Styela clava: one gene and its partner. The protein of the gene in region 1 purifies or fractionates together with the protein of each later gene. This does not show direct contact. Links are inferred from orthologs where the notes say so. Each region holds a gene or a part of one and is shown on either strand. Other genes may lie near its edges.

Region 1 (11,259 bases):
ATTGATCCCGAAATATGTAATCATATTTACTGGTAACCACTAGGCCAGGGCTACTCAACTATAGGGGCTCCCGAAGTATGCGAACCAAGATGGCGGACATCGGAATGTAATATGTGTACTAGGTTAGGGTTAAGCCATAATTTTAGGTATAAATACTACGGGAGGCTCTTGGCTAATCTTCAAACTGATAATAGGACTAAAATAAGGAAAATTGGAAAAATATTATCGCCTAACCCTAACCTGTTACGTTCCGATGTCCGCCATCTTGGTTCGCATACTTCGGGAGCACCCAACTGTATTTACCGAAGATCCGCATACAAAACTACAAAATTATTTGGGTCCGGTGTTTCCAGAAATTATATTTCGGCATCCTTTATTAACGCCCACTTCCTCGACCGGTCAATGATTATCAGCTAATCAAGATTGTTTATTATGGTGTTATAGTTCTTTTCATATATATTCAAAACAATAAGTCATTTTATAAAATGAAACGTTAAAAATCAGGCTAATGATTCAAAATAAAGATTGAGATGCGGTTCAGATTCGGACCGGGGTACGCCAGTTGAGTAGCCCTGCACTAGGCGACCATGTCCACACTATACATAAAGTAAATTGGGTTGCATACAACAGGCAAGTTAAAAATAATCAATATAAAAAAACAGTAGAAACAGAAACCCTTTCATTTAATTAGTGAGATTTCTCAAATTATAAAATATCAGAAACCTATCAAATAACTGTCTATTTCACTTTTGTGCACACCCGAGACAAACAATTTTATTTGCCTTTTCAATGAGCAAGACTCAAATTAGAATATATTCGATATTTTTTAATAAACGTCTTTTTGAATTCAAAATATTGAATATACACTGTATGGTAAGAACTTTTACTTCCCTGATACCTCATATTCAAAATATAATTTTAAATGTATTCAGTTTTGGCCAACTTTGAGCACAATATTCCACTTTATATTATACGATAACTCAATTAAATTGAAATTGGCATAGATTTTTAATGTGGAAAAAGTGAAAAAACATTTCTCATACCGGGCTTCCAAAGGTAACTTGCTCAGCAGAAGGAAACTTTGCCAAGAATTGATCCCCTCTTGTCTTTTCTGATGGATTGAGCGGCCGAAACCGACACATTACCTGAAAAAAAATATAGAAGTACGCTTATTTTATAGATTTTCGTCCACAGGTCTCACATCAAAAAATGGTTTTCTGTCGCAGCACAGGAATAACGAACCATGACCTTTTTTCCCGAAGCACATCCTTATTTACTTCCGTAACATTAACTAATCAGTAACATGCAAAAAGTGACATAACAATGGAAAATTTTATCAGTTGTTGAGTAGGCTATTGCTGGTCTTTCAGACAAATTTTTGGCATCGTTGTTAACATTGTCAGTTTTTAGTATTGTTTCGGATTCAAGTATGGATCAAATACCCTAATTATACTTTCCCTCACTTAGAGTTTTAGTTTAATAGCAGTAATCAAAAAGTTGTCTAGAAATAGCAGTGATAGATTATGCCAAACTTTTTTATCGATACTTCTATATGAAAGGTGGTTGAATATTTTAAATCAAAATGTTAATTTGAAACATCTAAACTTCCCACATCAGAAATTTTTAACACAAATTCAGTATTTCAATGAAAGCTTGCAACTCTCCTTTAATTCGTTCAAGCCAAAATTAGGTTAGTAATGAAGCTGGATATATAGATTCAATCATAATTTGAAAGCCTGTTTTTTTGGGTCTATTGGGCTGTCATATAAATAGTTGGATAAAAATAGATAATTGGTCCCTATTTAAATGACAATCTTGGTGGAGGAGGACTATTGGGATTCCATAGAGATGAGCTGGTTAGGAGATATGGTCCAAATCGCCATTTAAATAGCATTCTCTTTAGAGGTCTCATTTCAGGTGTTTTGGGCTGCCATATAGACAGGGTTGCCATATCGTGCTTATTTATAAGATTTATGCTTATTCTCTAGCCTGCGTCTTATAAAGTAACTATGTGTTTATTTCTAAGAAAAGTGCTTATTTTTGAGTTGCGTGCTTATTTGGTGTTAGAAACGTGGGTGACCAGTACTTGTTTTGTGTACAAAGCTTGCGTGGAAACGACAGACGAACTTTTTTCAACGGTGGGGTTTGCGGTATTTCCAGGCAAACTGTGACACACACAATAGTTGATGCTAGTTTTTAGGAATACTGTTTTTAGGGACTAACTGCAATTTAGAGTAAGCGTGACCATGAGTTCTGTTTCGAACATGAAAAGAAATTTTCTATTAACTACTGCTATTGCGACATCGAGAAAGGTGGAAAACAGTAATCGGTGCCCACAATACTACCGCATTGCGGGAAACCAAAGTCGCTATTAAAGTGCAAAATTTGAATTTCTAATCTGTATAAATAATGTGGTTCATCAGTCACCCGTTCAGTTTTTAGCTTTCTGGAAAAAATATGTGCCGCCCGCCAAGATTCGTAACACTTGGTTGCCGACCCTTGTCTTAGAGATAGCGTGTGGCAGTGACTCCGTGTCTTTCCATTGCTTTTTGCAATTTTGGAGCTGCGTACAACCATGTTCGAAGCGACTTCTAATGATAAAAAGTGGGAGACTCGTGTATGATCTCCTTCTCATTCTTATTCTGCCGTTGTTAAGACCCCTCCCCTTGAAAAATACCATTTTGACGCCCGTGCTTATTTTTGGCTCTGGGTAGATGGCAACCCTGCATATAGACAAGTTAAGAATGGGGATGGATATAAGGTCCCAGTCACCATTCGAATGTTCTCTTCAGTAGAGAGCTGCTGGGCTATCATATAGACAGCAAGTTAGGAATAGGGGTGGAACTATAGTCTTAATCGCTATTCGAATAAATGTGCTTTACACTAGAGGGCTACTGAGCTGCAAGATAGATAGCAAGGTAAAAATGGAAATGTGGTCTAGGGCTGGGCATTTTCGAGTACCTTGTGATTTCAGAATCGAATCGAATAATTTTCTCGAATCGAATCTCGAATACTTGGAAATATATAATTGTAAGCGACTTTATTATAGTAATTGGTCCTCTCAACAATTGAATTACCGAAGACATAGAATGATTCACTCAGATAGATTACTGAGCGTTCACACAGAATAACAAACACGTTTTATCAATAACTCACTACAGAAAATAGTCGTATGTTAGAATTCCGTTGAAAAAATATGACTCTAATAAAAGAAAAATTAGGGAATTCACCTCGACCATTAGCGGAAAGATAAAAACAAGATGGCGGCGATTCGAAATTTAGCTCTGAACCGATTCGAATAATTTACTATTCGATTCGAATATTCGATTCAAAATGCCCAGCCCCAATGTGGTCCTAATCATCATTCAAATGGCATTCTCTGCAGAGGTCTATTGACCTACCATATATACATCAGGTTAGGAATAAGAATGGGTATATAATAGTACCAATTACTATTTGTATTGCTTACTCTTCTCTGTCGAAAGTGGTACATTTCTGAATTTATAGTCTATGTCACAATAAATTAACCATGTAGTACTCTCATTTTTTTCTTAACTCAACTTGAAGTTTTATCTTCTTTCCTGAATATCTGTGCTGTGTGTTCGTCTTGTATATCATAATTTACTGTTTGGAACAATGGCAAAGTTAAGACAAATTATCTATCTTATCAAAGTTGTCAATCATCATTTGATCGGTTTCTCCATACATGGCACGTGGACAGAAGGTTAGGAGTAAAGATGGAGATAATATGGTTCTAATCTGTACATTAATGGTTTCCCCCATATGGACATCATATTAGGGAAAGATATAATGTTCTAAGCGTCATTTAAATGGCCTTCGTAAATGGCTATTGGGCTGTGTGATACTAACCAACGTCAATAAACATACACAATACCTTTATGCTGCATTCTGCCGATGAAGCCTCTCCTGCGTCAGTCATCTTGAATCAAGACGCCAAACAGTTCAGCAGTTTATAATCCAATTCTCCAAATGAACGTTGGAATATTTTCTTCTAAATATTCATATGTATTTGATCAAAGAATACCTAACCAAGTGAGATATTACTACTAATAAATCCCTGTAGAACAAGAAAATATTTTTAAATTTGTGAATGATCATAGCAATAGCAACTTTCAGTGTGCACAAGTGTTCTAAAGGTTTTTCAAAGGTGATGCATCACTATGATTGGGGTCTTACTACTTACTGAATAAAGCGTGAAACAGAAGAAAAATAGCACGAAATACAGTACACATTGAAGTAAAAAGAATATAATGATCATAAAATATATTCCATGATTTCTGTGAAGCTAGCAAAAAAATGTTCTCTAGCTCTGTTCCGTTCTGCATCCAACAATACAGCAATATGAATTAACCCAGTTAAATCAACCTCCTCCTGAAAGAAAACTTCAAAATGTAGGGTGGTGTTGCCAGTCTGCTGACGATTCCATTCAAACCGCTATAAAACAAAAACCAATATTTCGAACCCGTTCACCGTAGGTGCATTGGCATTTATTCTACATGCTAAACCTCGAATTACCTTTCTACAACCAGGGGATAAAGCTATACAAACCACCAAAGTACGACACTCGGAAGACATATTTGCGACCGAACAACCAGTGTGCGACCACAGATTTCAAGCTTTAAACATCGTTTCTGCTGTGTCAAGACTAGGGCATACGCAGCCATGCATGAAAAAATGGGCTTCTAATTGCATTTCTGACCGTCATATATTTTAAGAACACAGTCATTTCGAACAAAACTCGTCAAATTATATACAAAGCACCGCATCACAGCAATCAAACAGACAAAAGCACGGTGGTCACAAATTGGTCGGCAAAGATATTATCGACGTATTGGAAATGCGCACCCCCTATTCCCCCTCCTTTACAACGTAAAAACGCGAAAATTTAAAGATGGTTGAAAGAAACACAACTCTATCTCTTATATTTGTATGAATTTTCAAGTTTTTTTGATGGGACAATGGGTAGTTGGCGACATGAAAAAATGGTCCGTTTCTTTTCCTCGGTCAGGTTTTCGGTTGTAACTTTTTTGTTTGTGACCGCATTTTAGTGTAATTTCGCAGAGCTACGAGGGACAAGTGGACGGTAACGTGTGAGAAATATCGTCACAATTCGATAAATTTTCGACATTAATTAGATAGTCGAAGTTGATGGCCGCAATTAGGTCTTGGGCGCAAAGTCAGAAAGTGGGTAAGCCACCCTAGTGCTGTAGTGACTGTTTTTGATGAGCAATGCAACCCAAGCAAATCCATTTGCAAACTCCCAATTATTTTGTTGCTATTTTTTATTCCACAGATAGTTCAAATAGAATACTGGAATGAGATTTATTTAGGCCCATCCCTCTTTCAGTCTTTCGCAATAACTGAATAACAGGAAAAGAGACGATCTGCAAGATTTAACTACTTTGATTTGTAATATTACTATTATATTGCAACAGACTATTATACATAATCAGTTGCTTAAGCAAACTAGTAAAACTTAATACCGGTACTACCGGTAGGTATTTTGTCAAGCTGTCACGGTCAACAGGACAATCAGCTCAGAATGGCAGAAACAATACGGCTGAGATTCCACTTGGTTCTGCATTAAAACTAAGTCTATCAACTCATTAATGGAATAGGCACACAGCCAAACGTAAAAATAACGAAACCTAAAATTACAAACCGAAATAGCCTTGTCGAGGCAACTGCAAACCCTCGAATAACTAAAAATCACAAACCGCCACCCCTCGACACCTGCTGTCTCAAAGCTTTCACATCGATCGTTCTGTCTGGGGATGACGTCATCGTGCCGAGATGACCCGATTTGTTTGACCTTTTAAAAAGTATTAAACGACCTTTAACATTTTATGTTCAAGAGGAAAGTATACAAATAGTGAAAAAATAAAATAAATTAAATAAAACAATTAGTATAGATGATGTTCTCGTGTTGTTTAGCCACCATGTACCTTTTCATTCAATAAAATATGTAGTCTCGAACACGGACTTGAAGCCAAACGATAGTTTGTGGTTATGCAGATGGATGAAAAAAATCTCATAAACTCTGCTATGACAGGATGTTTCCCCGTGCAGCAACTTGTTTGTTTATTTCCGTAACAATAACAAATCAGCAATAAGTTAACAATGACGTAACAATTGGAGTTTATAGATATTCAAGCATGGTTGTAAACATTGTATCTTTTTGATAATATTTTTTCCAGGGGTCAAGGGTCGGGGAAACGTCCATAGAATAGGGATAACACACAAAACGGAAATTTCGGAAAGTTTTCAAAACACCTTGCGACATAGAATATAAGTGAAAAACATCGCCAGCTCTATGGAATTTCCACAAATTTGAAAATACCAATATAATACCACTACCAATAGTCAATACAAATGTAATATTAGATTTCTCCATTAAAAAAATATTGCACGATATAAGAACCGCAACCACATTTTTCTTTTTTGAATTCTAGTGTGTATAAAGTATTGCCATGATCTCCTTTCGATCAGTGTCTCACATCCTAAATTGATTTAAAAGGTATTACCCGATTTTATATCGTGTCTTTATTTTATTGTGTTCTTATGACTGCTCGCCGTCCAGGTCCTCTACATTTTGTTTGTCCGTTTTTTTTTTTTTTCAGAGTGGCCACAATATGATAATCAAAATTGATTATGTCAAGTATTAAAATCCGGTTGCCAACAGTTTCCATTCAGACATAAATGCACAGGCTTCCAGCCTTCCAATGCTGCAAGCTGATACGCTATTGCATAAGTCAGGATAGGAATTTATCCCGTGGAGAAACAGGCCGATGTTACGGCCAACCACATCGCGCACAAAATTATGTCGTCCGATGACCAGTTCATGCGTAGTATACATAAGTATAGTTTACCAGTTGTTTGTTTCGTGGATGGACTTTATGGTCGAGGGAGTCTTAGCTGACCAGCGCTTGCGTTTAGCAATCCTCTCGCACATAATTGTCCCTCATTGGATTCGAACCTGCGATCCGGCGCCGGGTAACCGTGATCTAACGCTTTGCACCCTTCGCCAACTGCCGAGTCCAGTAATTTGAGATAATTAGTCTGGGGTTGCCAAGCGTGACGTTGATTAAAATCTGTTAATTAGGTAAGATTCTGATCCAACGGTCTTCGTCGGTATCGGTGGCGCAGGGGAAGCGTAGAGACATGGTTACACCTTGGGCCAGGTATAAGCGTGGGTTCGAATCCCACGAGATAGACGGAGCTATGGGAAAGAACCGTGTGTGGGTTAGGTAGAGACAGTAGGCGAGGAAGGCAGGCATAAGGTAGGACCGCCAAGAGCAGGCGGGCAAGTGAGATGAACAAGGAAGGAAAGCGGACGTGCAGATTAGACGGGAAGGCCATGAGAAGACAGTAACGCAGATTGGAGTGGAATCACTAAGGCAGATGAGTCATGCGTGAAAAAAGAAGAGCCTGGGCTAACTCTGCGAGGAGGAGATAAAAGGGAGAACCGCCAGGAGCAGGCAGTCAAGTGAAATAGACCAGTCAGAAATGAGGACAACGGACAACAGACAGACGGATGAAGCGGAAGGCCGGTGCGACCACCAGAGCAGGCAAAGGCGGATCCAAAGAGAAGACCCCTATGTGTAGGCAGAGGATAGCTAAAGACTGGGAAAAAAGAAAGGAAAAAGAAAATAAGAGGAAAAAGAAAAGGCTACCAGAGCAGGCAAAGGCGGATCCCCATGTGTAGTAGGCAGAGGATAGCTAAAGACTGGGAAAAGAGGAAAAAGAAAAGGCTGGGAACGGGAGGAAAGCCGAAAGAAGGGCATACCGCCAATAGCAAAAGCAGGACAATAAAATAAGATAAGCGAGAAAGGATCAGGCGAAAAGCCGAAGAAAATACAGGAAAACAGAAAAAACAACGCAGGTGTGAGTGAGTCAGGCAAAGAGTGCCAGAAGAGCAGGTCCAAGACAAGGAGGAGAAAGTAAAAGAGCATCTTCATCCTATGCCCGAGATTTGGATGTAGGAAAAAGAAAACAATGCTTGCTTAATGCCAACAAGGAAGCGGAAAGACAGCTCTGGCTGACCCAAGGGAGCAAACAGGCCCGCGAAAATCAAGATGCCACACCAAGACCGGCGAAAAAAAAACTATTTTCCCTTTTTTTTTTAACGGGCGTCAAAGATTAAGCAGCCATTTTTTTGGTCGTCGAGGATGTAGGAAAGAAACCGTGCCGGCGGGCGAGCTGTATGGTCAAGCCTCCACTCCGGTTTTATCCGTGAAACAATTTAGGCGACTCCAAACACTACGAACTAATTTACGAATTTATTCATTCGCGAGGTGTCACTCAAGATCAATCAAAGTGAGTGATCAGTTGCCATAACGACGTTTTGATGACGCGCTTCTTCTGCAAACATTTGAGATAGCGATAACTTTGTAATCAAATTAAATAATTCAGACGCGATAATTTGATTAATTTGGAACATTATTGTGATAATGATTATGTTATTTAGAGAAGACCGTTAGGTTATTTGTAGTTTTAGCTAATCGCAAGTTATGTACAAATATTATATGCAATGTAAATTTGCAAATTAAAGCATTAGGAAAATAGATAGATAGTTTATTTCGAAAACTCCATAACAAACATAAATTAAATATGGAGAATTCTGGAGGGCAAGCAAAACCTATAAAAAAGTTTATAAAACAATGAGAAGTATCTCATGTGCCTGCCCACAAAAATACAAGCCCAATTAAATGAGGCTTGGGCCAAACTTAACAAACAAATGTATGTATACATGATAGTAATAAACTATTGGGCTGTTGTACTTTTTACAAGGTACCGGTACAATTTACTTGGTTACCGGTGTCCTGGCATTGATATCATGAACTGCCAATAACTGTAAAAAGATGTAGCGCAAACAAAAAGCAGGGAGATTCGCTCTGTGTCTTGTTGTTTATTGCAGTAATCTAAATTGGTCTGGGGTTTCAGAGATTGGAAGTGGTTTTACTGAGACAGATGTATTTATGTGGAGCCACTCACTCAAAGCCTCACAGTTAGGATACAGTAGGATAGGATTTACATATTTATCCCAAGGGAGAGGAAAGTGATACGCCGGCTTAAATATATGGCAAACCACTGCCTCTCGTCCGGTTACCAGTACCGGTACATGTTGGGTATGGTATTAGTTAGCCAATTATTGGTTTTCGGAAGCATAGGCTTGTTCCACATTGCTCCTTGTTCTCAATGAAGCACTAGCCCAAATAGTTGCAATCAACTACTGAGAATTTTAAGCTTCACTGATAATGGAAAATTGGTTACTTCCAAATAATTTATACCATTCCAAGTATTAGCGAAAGGTTAGCATTCGTACAAGTTCATTCATCTGAAACAAGTTAACTGGGTAACTATTTCCATACGCAAAATGCACCGGTAATCATACAAGAGAGCATGGTTGCCATATGTTAGGCCATCTTAGCAGCGTTTCTCTCCCTGGGACTAAGATCCTATGCCAAAGATAGCAATGAGACACTGTCTGAAAATGGAGCATAATACTGCAATAAATGAAAATAATGTCATTTAAATTGTGGAATTCCAAATCTGATTACCAACAATATATTATTTAATTTCAGCCTATATATATCTTCTTTAATTTGTCTTAAAAAAGCACAAAATGCCGAATAAAAAAGGGTCCGAAAATAAAAAGAAAAAGGCGGTTTATCCGCCAGCATACTCGCCAGGAAAGAGTAGCACTCTAAAAGAGGTCGAATCAGAGTACATCAAAAATCTGCAACAACAAATCTACTTCCTTGAGTTAGAAACGACATATCTACGAGATCAAGCGAAAAAAGCGACCGATATTCAACCAAAATTAGTCAAAGAAGCTGATCAAATGATGACTCAGCTCAAGGAACGACACAGCGAAACGAATGATCTCAAAATCGAAGTTTCAAGAAAGGACGCTTCAATCTCAATGCTCACAAATGAAAAGAATCGTCTTGATCAAGAACTCCGAGCGAAAGTAACAACGTTTGACGTTGATAGAGGAATGCTCCGAGAAGAAATTATCCAACTTAAAAAGCTTAAAGACGTTGCTGATCGAGATATAGCTCGAAAAGATTCTGAAATTGTAAATTTACGACAAGAATTAGACCGCACAAATTCAGATTTACGACACACTCAACACAACTTAGCTCTCGTACAATCTCAACTTGACCAAAGAATCACTCAACACACTGAAACCGCTTTACTTCTCGAAGGGAAACGAGAGGAAAATCTACGCTTACAATCTGACATGCATGCAAGCGAAGAGCGACATTTCCAACAAACGGCTACAATGCAAGAACAAATCACTCGTGACCTGCAGACAGAAATTCGAGGGCTTAGGCAACAAGTACGAGAAAAAGAGCTCGCGTTTTCCCAAGAAAGAATTCTAAAAGACAAACTACTCGGAGATGTCTCGAAATTGACTCAAGAAAACACCGCAGTTCAAAGTCAAATTTTGGAGTTGTCGAAACAACTGGACCGCGAAAGAATCCTTCGCGGAGAAAGAGAAACAAGAGCTATGTCACATACATCTCAAATTGCGTATCTAAAAGGTCAAGATGAGGTCAAATCGCTAGAGTCGAGAAAACTACTCGATATGATTGAGATTCAGAAACAGCGATGTCGAGAGTTAGAAAACCAAATTCTGAAAATGCAAGATAACATGTCACACACCAACTTTCAAGGAGAGACAGTTCGTTCACGCTTGACTGAACTGGAGTCACGGTTCGCTAGAGTCGACACTGAAAATACACAACTTCGTCATGACAAGCAGTTACTTGTGGAACATGTTGCGAATATACAGCGTTCTCTAGATCAAAAAGAATCGGAAGTTCAGCGTTTACAAACCCATGTTCACACCCTACAAACCGATGTATCCAGAGCGCACACTGAACTAGATATGACAAGATCTCTCCAGTCGATGAAATGATTTAATTTTAGAAATAGAAGGACATCTAGTGGATGATAATATTCTTATAATCAAAAAAAATGTACACAAAATGGCCGACGGTTGGAAATAAGACTATTAGTGACAAGTACAAGTGTAATAATATTGTTACTTATAATAGGAAATCACCCAAATAATATTTTGTTTTTTCATGAGATATTTTACATCAGCAGTTCCCCAAATTGCTTTGGACATCACCATTTTCCACTGTATTTTTATTAAAATTAATGAGTAATATTCTCAAATCTAATTATTCCTACAAAATGTTTTAATTCTATTTCTTGCTTTTATAG
Region 2 (11,274 bases), on another chromosome or scaffold:
GTGTTCATACTGATAATAATACAAATCAGAAAAATAGTAATAATGTTGGGTCACTTCAAGGCAAGATTTCCCGGTTTTAACATCTTTCTGGCAATTTCGAAGCAATACTACACCAAAAAAACACATGGGACACTGGCTGCTACAAAAATTATGCTCTTACTCATGAGAACTTTTTCTAGAAATTATTAGCATAAATTAATTTAAAACACATGAAATTTTAAAATGGGTATAAATTATGGTTACATGCCTAACATAAACAATTTCTAGTGGAACATCGAAAAAATGTATCAAATCCCGAAATTATGTTGTGACTTGTACTAAAAATTTAAAAATGATTTTCTTGATATTTATTCGACAAAATATAATATAACTAATTATAATGATAAATAACAGCACCCTCAATAAAATGCTATAATAACCCAACAGTGGATACTCTAATATGACTAGAAATCAATTTGATGTTGACGAATAATATACTACAGAATTTTTGTATAACAAAATATGAATTGTACTAAAATAAGTTATTTTAACTGCTCCTATAAAAAGTTGCCTTCTCAATTTATTAACAATATTTGATATTATATATCTATTCTGAGTATTAAATATTTATATAGAAAATACGCGATAAAAATGGTCCTTATTTTAGTTAGGGCAAGTCAAACATGAACAATCTATTCATATCAAGTATGATACAAACATAGTATAAAATGGGACTGTGTGGCCACAAACTAGAACTGGGCAAGTAAAAAGAGCAAGTGATAATTAATACAATAATTAATATAATTTACTCATGCAAACATCAATTATTAAGCAATCACAAGAAGTGTGAAAAAAAAGTAGTAATGTTTTTGAAGAAAAATGAAGAGTAGTAAAGTGTCTTGGATGAAAATTATAACAGTTAGTATTTGCTGATAAAATACCATAATCAATAGAAATGACAAAAATTAAGAACAGACAGAAAACTATTTGTTTGAATATTGAGTTTGAAAAAAAACATGAACCTATTTAAAATCAGTGTGCAGTGCAGGATTAATATGAATTTCCAAAAAAGATTTGGGAATATATACTGGTATATATAATCCAGTCTTAGCGACTGAAAATAATAAACTCAGGAGATGTTCATTATACAATAGATTGATATTTTTAAATCGCTGCCTACATTTAATTCATTGTTCAAACGTTTACCGAGATATTCATATTTAATAGTTTAATTTTCTAGAATTCTTTTTCAGATAAAACCTTGATTTATAGGAAAATTGTAGCAAAATTTTTGTAGCAAATCATGATATATGCAATTGGAGTTATAAAATCCCACATAAAACTCTAAATACAGGAATCTGGTTGCACACCTCAAGTCTAGAAAGGACAATTTTTACAGAGTACATATTTTTGCTCGTGAAGAAGTGTCAGCAAAAAAAATAAATTGTATCATTAAAGAACATGTTTGACAATAGGTTGAGATTACGATACTGTTAAATATATAATGATAATTGAATTCTACAGCAGGCACCACTGTTGCAATTACTATGTTGACAAAGAAGTGAATTACAGAGTTATAAAAACCTGATAAACAGCTCAATCGAAACTAATATTCATTAACACTGAGAATAATTAAATAACAATCAATTGCAGGTAAAGCATTTAACAAATTAAGTATTATTAACATCATACACACACGGCACCCCTTTAAAAATGTACAACAGTGTCGCCAGCTTTTGTTTTAAATTTATTATTGAAATTATTATGAAATCAATTAAGTATACAAAGAATTTGTTCCGGCACAATGTGGCCAAGTAGTCAGTATGTCTGTCTGATTATGTTTGAATATTAAGTTATGCCCAGTGGAGTATGATTTGAGGTATATTCCTACAACACTTAACATACACAGAAGTATATGAAATATGAAAAAAACGTTTCACTTGACAAATTAATTATTGTAGTAGTAGCAACAAAAAGTCCCATCCACATCCGATCTTTTTACCAATACTGCACTAAAATTACTCAATACTGATATTGAAAAAGCGTCAAGATATGGCTTGAAAAGTGTAATAACCTTCATACAATTATATTTTATTAACTACCATACTTTACTAAATAAAATGTACCGATTTAAAAAATTTATTTCTAACGGGTTATCTTGCATAATGATTTGACGGATATAAAATGAAGAATTCAATAAAAAAAGATTCTGGCAAAGTGAATAATGTTATGGGAACAAAGCAAAGATAAATAACAAAATAATAAAAGTTAAACCTATCATGAATGACTAACTGGCAAGCAATGTAAAGTTTTGTAGCAATTGCAAATTCATAATTCCTTATAACATAGGTAAATTTAGCACACTGCTGCAGAGAGATATCCAAATAACTCCAGAATTTGGTTATGAAAGCGGAAAGCGTCAATATATAATATATAACGTTGAAAAATCAATTTATGTCACAAAATATTGTCTTATTTGCGATACTCTATACATTACAATATTGATACTATGACGTACCCCCAAAGTATGCCAATTTAAACTGAGTAGAGGGCGATCACAACACAATTAAGACTGTTAATTTCATAATGGAGCATCACTATATTGATTACCGGTAACTGCAAACTAATTAATACATCTTTAGGAACATTATCATTGAGTGGGACAAACTACACAAAAATTTGACCATGAAGCTGATCAAATAATAGAATTACCAATAAAATAACACAATTTGAAATGGACGAACTTGGAATAACTTTTCCTAGGAAAAGCTGCATTGAAAAGTCAAATAAATAAATAACCATGCGTCATTTGAATTGCGGCATCTTATAAAGTCAAAGTGCGTGCGCTTGTCGGTGCCGGAACTAATACTTTCAATATATAGTTGGTTATCAACGACGGCACTTCTTCACTATCTGCTTTGATGGCATCTAGTAATTTAATAAGAGCCTGAAGACCCTCTAGTGGAGGAACACCACCTTCGTCAAAAGGAATTACAGTAGTGAGAAATCTCCCAGGAGAGGATGACACTGATGCATTTGACATGCTGAAACTTTTTGACAATTTCCCTAACTTGAATCTGCTAGAATGCGCTTTATCATTCTGCTGAAATTGTTCCTGTTTACGTTGAACTTCTAATATTTTGGAAATAAATGTGTTACGAACTTCTTTCTCGTATAAAAGCTCATCGCGAAAATTTAACTGATTCAACAAATCTTCTGAAAGAAACTTGACAGTACTTTCCAAGCTACACAGCTCTTCATTTAATTCCGCAATTGACATTTGTTTCAGACTAGACGCTCTGTCACTTTCCTCCTGACTGGATGGCGATCCCAAGTTACGTCCATAAATTATACTGCTCTCGTCACTCATCAGGTCGTTTTCAATTGAAAATGCATCTATGCTTCCATCAGTATCAGCAATGATAATTCCAGTTTGTTGTTCCAACTCGTCGTCAAATGCTGCGTCCTGCTCATCTGCATCCAACATAATTTCTTCTAGTTCTTGAATGACTTCATCCGCAGATTGTAATTTCCCATTTCCAGTTGTTTCAGAATTCTGACAAGACATTTGATAAGGCTCACATTCTGAGTATACATTATACTCAATTAATTTGTGAAAATCCATTTGATTTTTAAGCTCATTGCTTTCAAATTCTGAATATCCATCGAGATCTTTTTCTACATTGCTTTGGTCTGATATGTTGAGATCCAGAGCAGGAATGTGTAATTTACGAATTTGTGAACTACACCAATCCAATGGTTTAACTAATCCATAGTTATCAGTGATCGACTTCCAAATATCATTGTAGTCTAAAATATCATTTAATGTTTGTAATGGTTTTACAATTTTATCATTGTTACTTGATTTATTTTGTATCTTAAAACATTTTGAAATCTTCTGCTCAAACTTTTTAACCAAATCTTCCATACTTCCATAATTCTCTGCAACGTTCAATGTTGTGCAATTATTCAGACCTTGCGTTATTCCATTTCCAAAAGAATTGAAATAATCATCACTGAAGCAATCCTCCTTTTTTCCATCACATGAAAATGAATTTGATGAAAAATTTCCCCAATCATCCTCAGTTTCTGCCATAGGGGCAGTCATTTTATAGACTAAAAACTGAAAAATAAATCAAACTGGAATAAGAAAAGAGGAAAGGCCAGGACAAGAAAATGTTCACATTTATCAGCATATCTCTGGTCTCAGGGTCTCTGTATATCATATATTATCTGTATATCAGAATATTAGTTCTTCGATTCCAAGAATAGCCCCCACATTGAAAGACATCAAACAAACAGTAAGTGTAAACCCCTTCTTTTTTGAAGAATCCAATGGTGATGTTTTCATGTCACAAATTTAAAAAACGAATATAGTCTTTTTGCAGTTGACAAGTGGTCCTTAAAGAATAATAAACAAACTCCTAACTCAATACAGCAATATCAGAATATGAGGACATGTCTTACAGTCTTATGACATACAGATGTCACCTCATGGCCCTAGGCTATGTACGGTAATTGCATAGGCGGTAATTGCGCGGCGGAGTGGCTCAACGGGCTAAGCGTTAGGAATACGCTCGCCACCGCACCTCTAATTACTCTGCGTGGGTTCGCAGGTTCGAATCCCATGCAGGGATGGTTATGTGCGTGAGGATTGCTGGACTCCTCGCCGTCGTTGGGTGGTTCACGTAACCGCTGGTCGGTTACGGCTTCCTCCACCACCAAGTCCATGCTTCCGAAAACAAACAATACAACTAATCCCATACCCGACTTGGAATGGTAACCGGACGAGAGGCCGTGGTTCGCCATAAGGATAAGCCGTCTTATTGGCTTTCCTCTCCCCCGGGATAAATATGTAAATCCTATCCTATCCTATCCTAGTAGCGTGCTGGCGTAGGTTCGCCGAAACGTCTAGGTAGGTTGTTGAGGTCAATATATACAGCAATATCTGAACATGTATGATAACCAAGTTGAATGGCTCAGACCTCTAGACAGCAGGACACTGTAACAGACTTGATTTCCCTGTCAATGCAGCAATGACTGAATGACTGGACAGAATGACCCAAATTCCAATTACTGGTGGGCCAACTAGTACTGAACTTGAACTCTGTTTATTGTTTCAACCTATTTTTCTAAACCTATCTTTTTGCCAACTGATTCCGGTACTTAACTTAAATATTTGAAATGAAATCAGTGAATAGGAGAGAATCATTCGATCACGAACTTGCTGAAAACAATAGGAAGACTAAACAAACTGCATTTTTTTGTGCGTGTGTGTGTATTGCCAAATTGTATTTCATAGCCAATATGAATTTTTACATTATAAATTTTGTTGCTTCAGATTAAACTAATGAAATAAATATACATACCGGTACCAACGTAAATTACTCCCCCCCCCCCCCCCCCCAGCTATTTTGATGGGTTCCTTATCCTTGTGCCTTTTTGGGTAATGTCAGTCAACTCGACCTTTGACCCGGGAAAATAGTGTACAAATATTTCCTTCGTCGTAAAATTCCCGACATCTATTTTGAACACAATTTGTATCCATCCGAGATAGCAGGAAATCGATATGAAATCATATCATGCGTACTAAAAAATGTCTTCTAGTCCTTTCGATTTTGTTAAGGAAAAAATCCCATGTGAACAATCCCGCAACAACGAGAAGTTCAGCAAACTTCCCATTTTCAGGAAATTTTTGGCGATTTAGGGAATTTTTATCGATTCCATAATTAAAATTAAACAGTTGTATAGTTTTCCTCGTTAATCATATATGTTACATCCAGTGGTGGGATCCAATTTTTTTGTCAGCCGGTTCCATCACATATCTTTCAGCCGGTTTTGTTACAAAAAGTCATGTTTTTTCAGTAATGCTAACCCAGTGGTTCCCAACCTTTTTTATGTCGCGGCACACTATTGAACTATTTAAATATTCGCGGCACACCTATCACAAAACAGGAACATTTCTGGGGAAAAATTTTATCTTCAACCACTGAAAATTTCAAAGCAATTGGTCCAGTATTCGAAGAGAAAAGCGGTTTTTTAATATTTCCACTGGGTGTGTTACTCTGTGTCAAATAACAACAAGAACAAGAACAACATAATATTGAAACGATCGTGATCGAACGATGCCACTACGTGTCCAAAAACACAGAAGATCAAATAAGAGAAATTCTATTTTTGTTAATATAACATATCCTGTATTTAAAATGGGTGGCTAATAGTTACCGATATTATAACTGTTTTCTTACAATAACGTACACGAGACCCACCATCAGAGCACCTCACATTTTTGTATAAGATGCGCGGCTGCACGGGTAATAGTCGTGACGCGATACGCTTTGGTTTTTCTCGCCCTTTCCCTGGGTGTAGCCTTCTTATTATCACAGGTATTCTCACTTTTGCACAACCTAATTTATTTTTGTTACAATTTAATGTTTCTCTCATTGCCAAAATCATTCAACGGTAATTGTCGGCACTAGCGAAATAAATGAAGGAGGCAAACAAACCGTATTTCATTACAACAATTAATTATTATCGCTAAAACACTAAATAGGTTTAAAGTTGTTATAAACAATTTTCACCGATGAACGAATCTTTTCACGTTATGAATTTCGTACAAGGCCCGAGCATAATTTGATGGCAAAGATCATAGCATTTACTACGTCGAAACGCTTATTCGACTTTCCGACCGCAGAAACTATCCGGAAAATAACCGTTTCTGCGTTCGAGATATGAAATAATCGTCAATTCCACCACGCTTTCGTGAAGTAGTGCAATTTACTACATTTAATAAAGGTTCTATTATTAAGTTTCATTGCATCAGTGTTTGTGCTCTCACTCGTTTCGCCTGATTACTGGCATGATTACAGATCGCAAGGATGGGCAAAAAAGAATATTTTTATCGAATCGAATTATTCGAATATTTTTAACGAATTGTCGAATATCGGATATTTTTAATACAAATAAAATGGGCATCCAGAATGCTAGGAATTCTAATGTTGATGAGCTATTTCCGCCAGTCCTCTTTTTTTACAAGGACTAATTCTTACGCAACGTTTGGTTTTATATTTTTAGGAGAACTATGCGTTCATATGGGCGACATATGTTGAAGACGGCTATTAAAGATTTTATTCTGATTTTCATCTTTTACGCCGGTTTTGACCTTTCTCCCCACCGATTGTAAATTAACTGTCCCAATGGTCCCAATTGAGCTAACAATATTATCATTTCTGACGTCGGAAAGCGGATATTTATAAAGACGATAGTTGACCTTCTTATGAATTTACTTTCTTATTGTGTCTGTTTAATTTTCGTATTAAATGGTGAATAAAAACTCTGCAAAGTCATTGCGTGAATCCTGAATGTTATTTTGAATTTGAATAATAATTAAATAAATAGGCAATAATGACAATTCTGCTAGTCAAATAATAATTCCTTCCTCAAATTTGGGAAAAATTTCGCACAATAATTTGTAACCTTGGTTGACATTTTCAATTTTACGAAACGGTGTTGGCGCGCATTATACAAAACTAAGAATTAAAACAATACCCAAATACCTGAAAACGACTCCTCAAATTTGTCGCTTCTGTTTGTTAGCAAGAGCTGTGAGTAATTCTTCTGGAATTCAAGGGACTAAAAATTGGAATCACTTGATATAAATTCAAAAATGAAATCTCTTTGCGGCACACCAAAATCTTTACCCTGGTTGTGAACCACTGTGCTAACCGGTTCGCTGATCTCATAAATTTCCGTGAGACGGTTCTATAGAACCGGTGCGAACCAGCTGAATCCCACCACTGTTTACATCACAGAAAATGACAACCTTCTATAGTTAAATGATGTAGGATATGAATTCATATTTATCCCCTAATCTGGGGGAGTCGATAAGGCGGTTTATTCATTTGGCGACGCCCTCTCGTTCGATTACCAGTCCACGTCGGCTATGGTAATTGGTAATACAGTAGTAATCCAGTTGTTCCATATGCATGCACGCAGAGAAACCCGTGACCCTGTTTGCGAAATAAATCCCAATGCCAAAAGGAATTTTCGTATTGAGATTTTAGAATAGAATCATCATATATTTTTTTTATTGATAAAAACATTACTTTTTATACACACGATAACACATAAATAAAGTCGCATTTAAGAAAATGAGTTCATGATAATTTTCCACCTCTTAACGTGGTTCGACAGTTTTTAGTTGAATAATTTTTCACGGTTAAGAACGCTTTTTATCATATATAAAAATTGATCAAATTGAGGCCTTTCATTACGTAGTTTACATTTATAATTATAATATCTTGCAGTTAATAAAACACAGTTTATACGTTGGTTTCATTATATTTTTATTACAAAGTTGTTTGTTTCTATAACTTGGTTTTTCAATTTAAACACATTCCTCTTGACCGGGGGTTACGTGAACCACCCTTCGACGGCGAGCAGTCCACCAATCACCTCGCATATAGGCATACTTCAATGGATTCCAACATGTCAATCTAATTAGAGGTATGGTGGCAGTGCATTCCAAACGCTCGGCACGCTGCGTCAGTCGCCGAGCTCTGGACATTGAAGTTTATTTGACGTGAAAAATACCTTTTTGTGTAATGGACTTGGAAATATACGTTTAATCCTATCGGGTGGGTCGTACGAAATGTTTTTTGATACAAAAGAAAATTCAAAATAAAAAACATGTTAAATAGAACAAGGTGGGTAATGCAAAAGTTTTAAACTTCTTTCTGCGAATAATTTGTAACAGCCTTACAGTTTTTCACTAAATCGAGGATCACATGATTTAGTCAAATAAGTTTCCAATATTGTTGACTGTAGATATTTTCTTCTCTAATTCGGACAATCACCATTGACACAAATGTCATTCTGTTCCTTTGAATTTAATATCAGTGAGGGGGTTCCATTACATTTGAACCCACGGCATTTGAACCCATGACAATTGCACCTGCATACTATTGCACATATGGAAATTTTTTGTTTTACGGATAATTTAACCCATACTCACCCTAACCCATGGGTTTTAGCAACCGCATATAGATTGAACCCGCGGATATACGCATGGGTTCAAATGTACGTGGGTTCAAATGTACGGTCACCCAGTGAGGGATATGTCGCTTTATGCTTTATCTTGGGATATAAATTTTTGACAGTTGTACTTTTAAATTGATTAACTTCATTATCTATAACGCAAAATTTCAGAGATTCATCAATCTTGCGGTTTCTATATTGATATTATAAAATTGATTATAGCCAATGTGTATACTGTACATGATAATGTTTTGAAGCACACATTCATTCAAGTGTTGTGTTTGGGAAGACTAGATGAGTTCTCAAAGAGCCCTATACGGAGCAGCAGTGCTACGTGAGAAAACCCCAAGGGCTCCGCGAACTATTCGTATACTCATTAAAATATTGACCTGGCTAATTTTGTAATTGTCTAATAAAGCAATAACGGCATTAATAAAATTTGACAACCGCAATTTAATCCTTTTTAAATAGAAAGCAGCAAATAGTCATTAAATAAAGTACTTTTAATTTACTCAGGAACATTAATCGTTTATAAATTTATTTCAACCTCTCCACGGACTCCATAATACCGAAAGTTTGAAAACCCCTGAACTATAGCATACTTTCTGACATGATTGAATGAATGCAAGCAATAGCCCCAAAATGACATGCTTTGAGGCTTGTCCCAGCACACGTTCATTCAAGTGTCACTTTTGGCCATGATTGACAAAATGAAAACAATAACACAAAATGGTATGATTTGTGTAATTGTTTGTAGCACACGTTCATTCAAGTGTCGTGTTTTGTGTACTTTGCCATGCAACAACTCAAAATGACAGGATTTATGGCTTGTCCTTTAGCTCGCCAATGTCCGTGCTGATCTAATCCGCCTTCACTTGACATAGCAGAGTGCCGCCGATACACGCAACGTGAATGTGCATAAGCGACCGGTCTGCGATTTCCACCCAGGGTAGGGTTGCCAACCGTCATTTATTTTATGGGATAATCCTATTAAGCTTTTAGGTCCTTGTCCTTGTAGAAAAGATGCTAATCATCCTTTATGCTTTCCAACATCGTTTTGCCCGATAGTTATAGTACTGTGTTTGGTATTGTTCCGTTCCTAAAAATCGTATCCGTTTATGTATTTGCAAGCTTTTAATTATTCTTAATTTCGCTTTTGTCCGGCTCAAATAGCGAAAGAAATAACAATTTTATTAACATTGTTTGGGTCAATGTTAAATAAACAATACATGAAGACTGTTTCAATATATCTTTTTGACTTGTATATAATTTTTATTTCATTTTATACTGTTCTTTCGCAAGTTACAAAATAAATGATGACGGTAATCTATGTCCTTTATTAAAACTTTTCATAGTTGGAAACCCTAACCCAGGGGCAGGAAAGGCCAATTCGAATAAAGTATTCGAATATCTCGTTATTCGAATATCGGAATTAGCGTTCATGAGAATATCGGATATTTGTGTGACGTTACACATTTTCGACGCCGCTTTCAAGACGTTTCCGTTGAGTGAAAACATTCTTGATAAGAACTTGCGCGCGATTGCTTTATCAGCGGGCGTGTTATTTAGGCCGTAAACGCCTTTACGTTTGTGTTATTTTCTCTGAAACGAAAATTTTCCACAAATTTGTTCCACATAACGATGACACTGATTTGATTTTTGTACTCGCACAGAATTGTGAATTGTGAGAGTACGTTCATCGGCGGCGAGTTTCTAAATAAAACTCAAATTTTTTGATTGAAAAGCGGCAATTTAATATACTGAAAATAAAACCGTAAACAAAATATGTTTTATTGAGGCCCGCGACAGTTTAAAAAACGCTCATTTAGGCAGTGAAAATCGCAAAATTTCCACATTATGTTTGGTCCGCGTTTAGAAACATATCGTCACTAATTGAGGGCGGGATTTGCCTGATTATCCTTACCTCAATTAAATTGCCGTCGAAAATTTTTGTGTTAACATTATACAAGGTTTGAAACGCGACTTTTACCGGGCTGTGAGAATGTATATAATATAATTAATCTTAAGTATATTCAATCAATTTTTATTGTGCTGAAATAAATTTTACTCTGAGATTTTACGGCAGATTTATGGATTTTTCGAACGGTTTTATCTCAAAAATAATCGGAGTGGCGGCATTTCGATTGAGCGGAGTCAGTGTTACACATCTCAAATTTGCCGAATTCGCAAAATACGGATCAAAACAATATATAATCGGACAGTTTACCACACATTTTTATTTTTATGTCCGCGAATGCC

What was found. The genes of interacting proteins can lie anywhere in the genome.
Region 2: the proteins of kinesin heavy chain-like (region 1) and fasciculation and elongation protein zeta-2-like purify together in Drosophila melanogaster (affinity purification with western blotting; 3 studies listed by BioGRID). This does not show direct contact. The link is inferred for Styela clava from reciprocal best matches to the Drosophila melanogaster genes Khc and Unc-76.

The regions. Positions count from the first base shown.
Region 1 is NC_135262.1:2,469,234-2,480,492, reverse strand, and holds the start of kinesin heavy chain-like, read right to left. Parts: upstream 4,075-11,259; 5' UTR 3,941-4,074; coding exon 3,896-3,940; intron 1,146-3,895; coding exon 1,044-1,145; intron 1-1,043. Other genes in the region: uncharacterized protein LOC120332555, read left to right, coding at 9,647-10,948. UniProt on the Drosophila melanogaster protein: Kinesin is a microtubule-associated force-producing protein that may play a role in organelle transport. Milt and Miro form an essential protein complex that links Khc to mitochondria for light chain-independent, anterograde transport of mitochondria.
Region 2 is NC_135263.1:11,069,636-11,080,909, reverse strand, and holds the start of fasciculation and elongation protein zeta-2-like, read right to left. Parts: upstream 5,366-11,274; 5' UTR 5,349-5,365; intron 4,381-5,348; 5' UTR 4,088-4,380; coding exon 2,804-4,087; 3' UTR 1-2,803.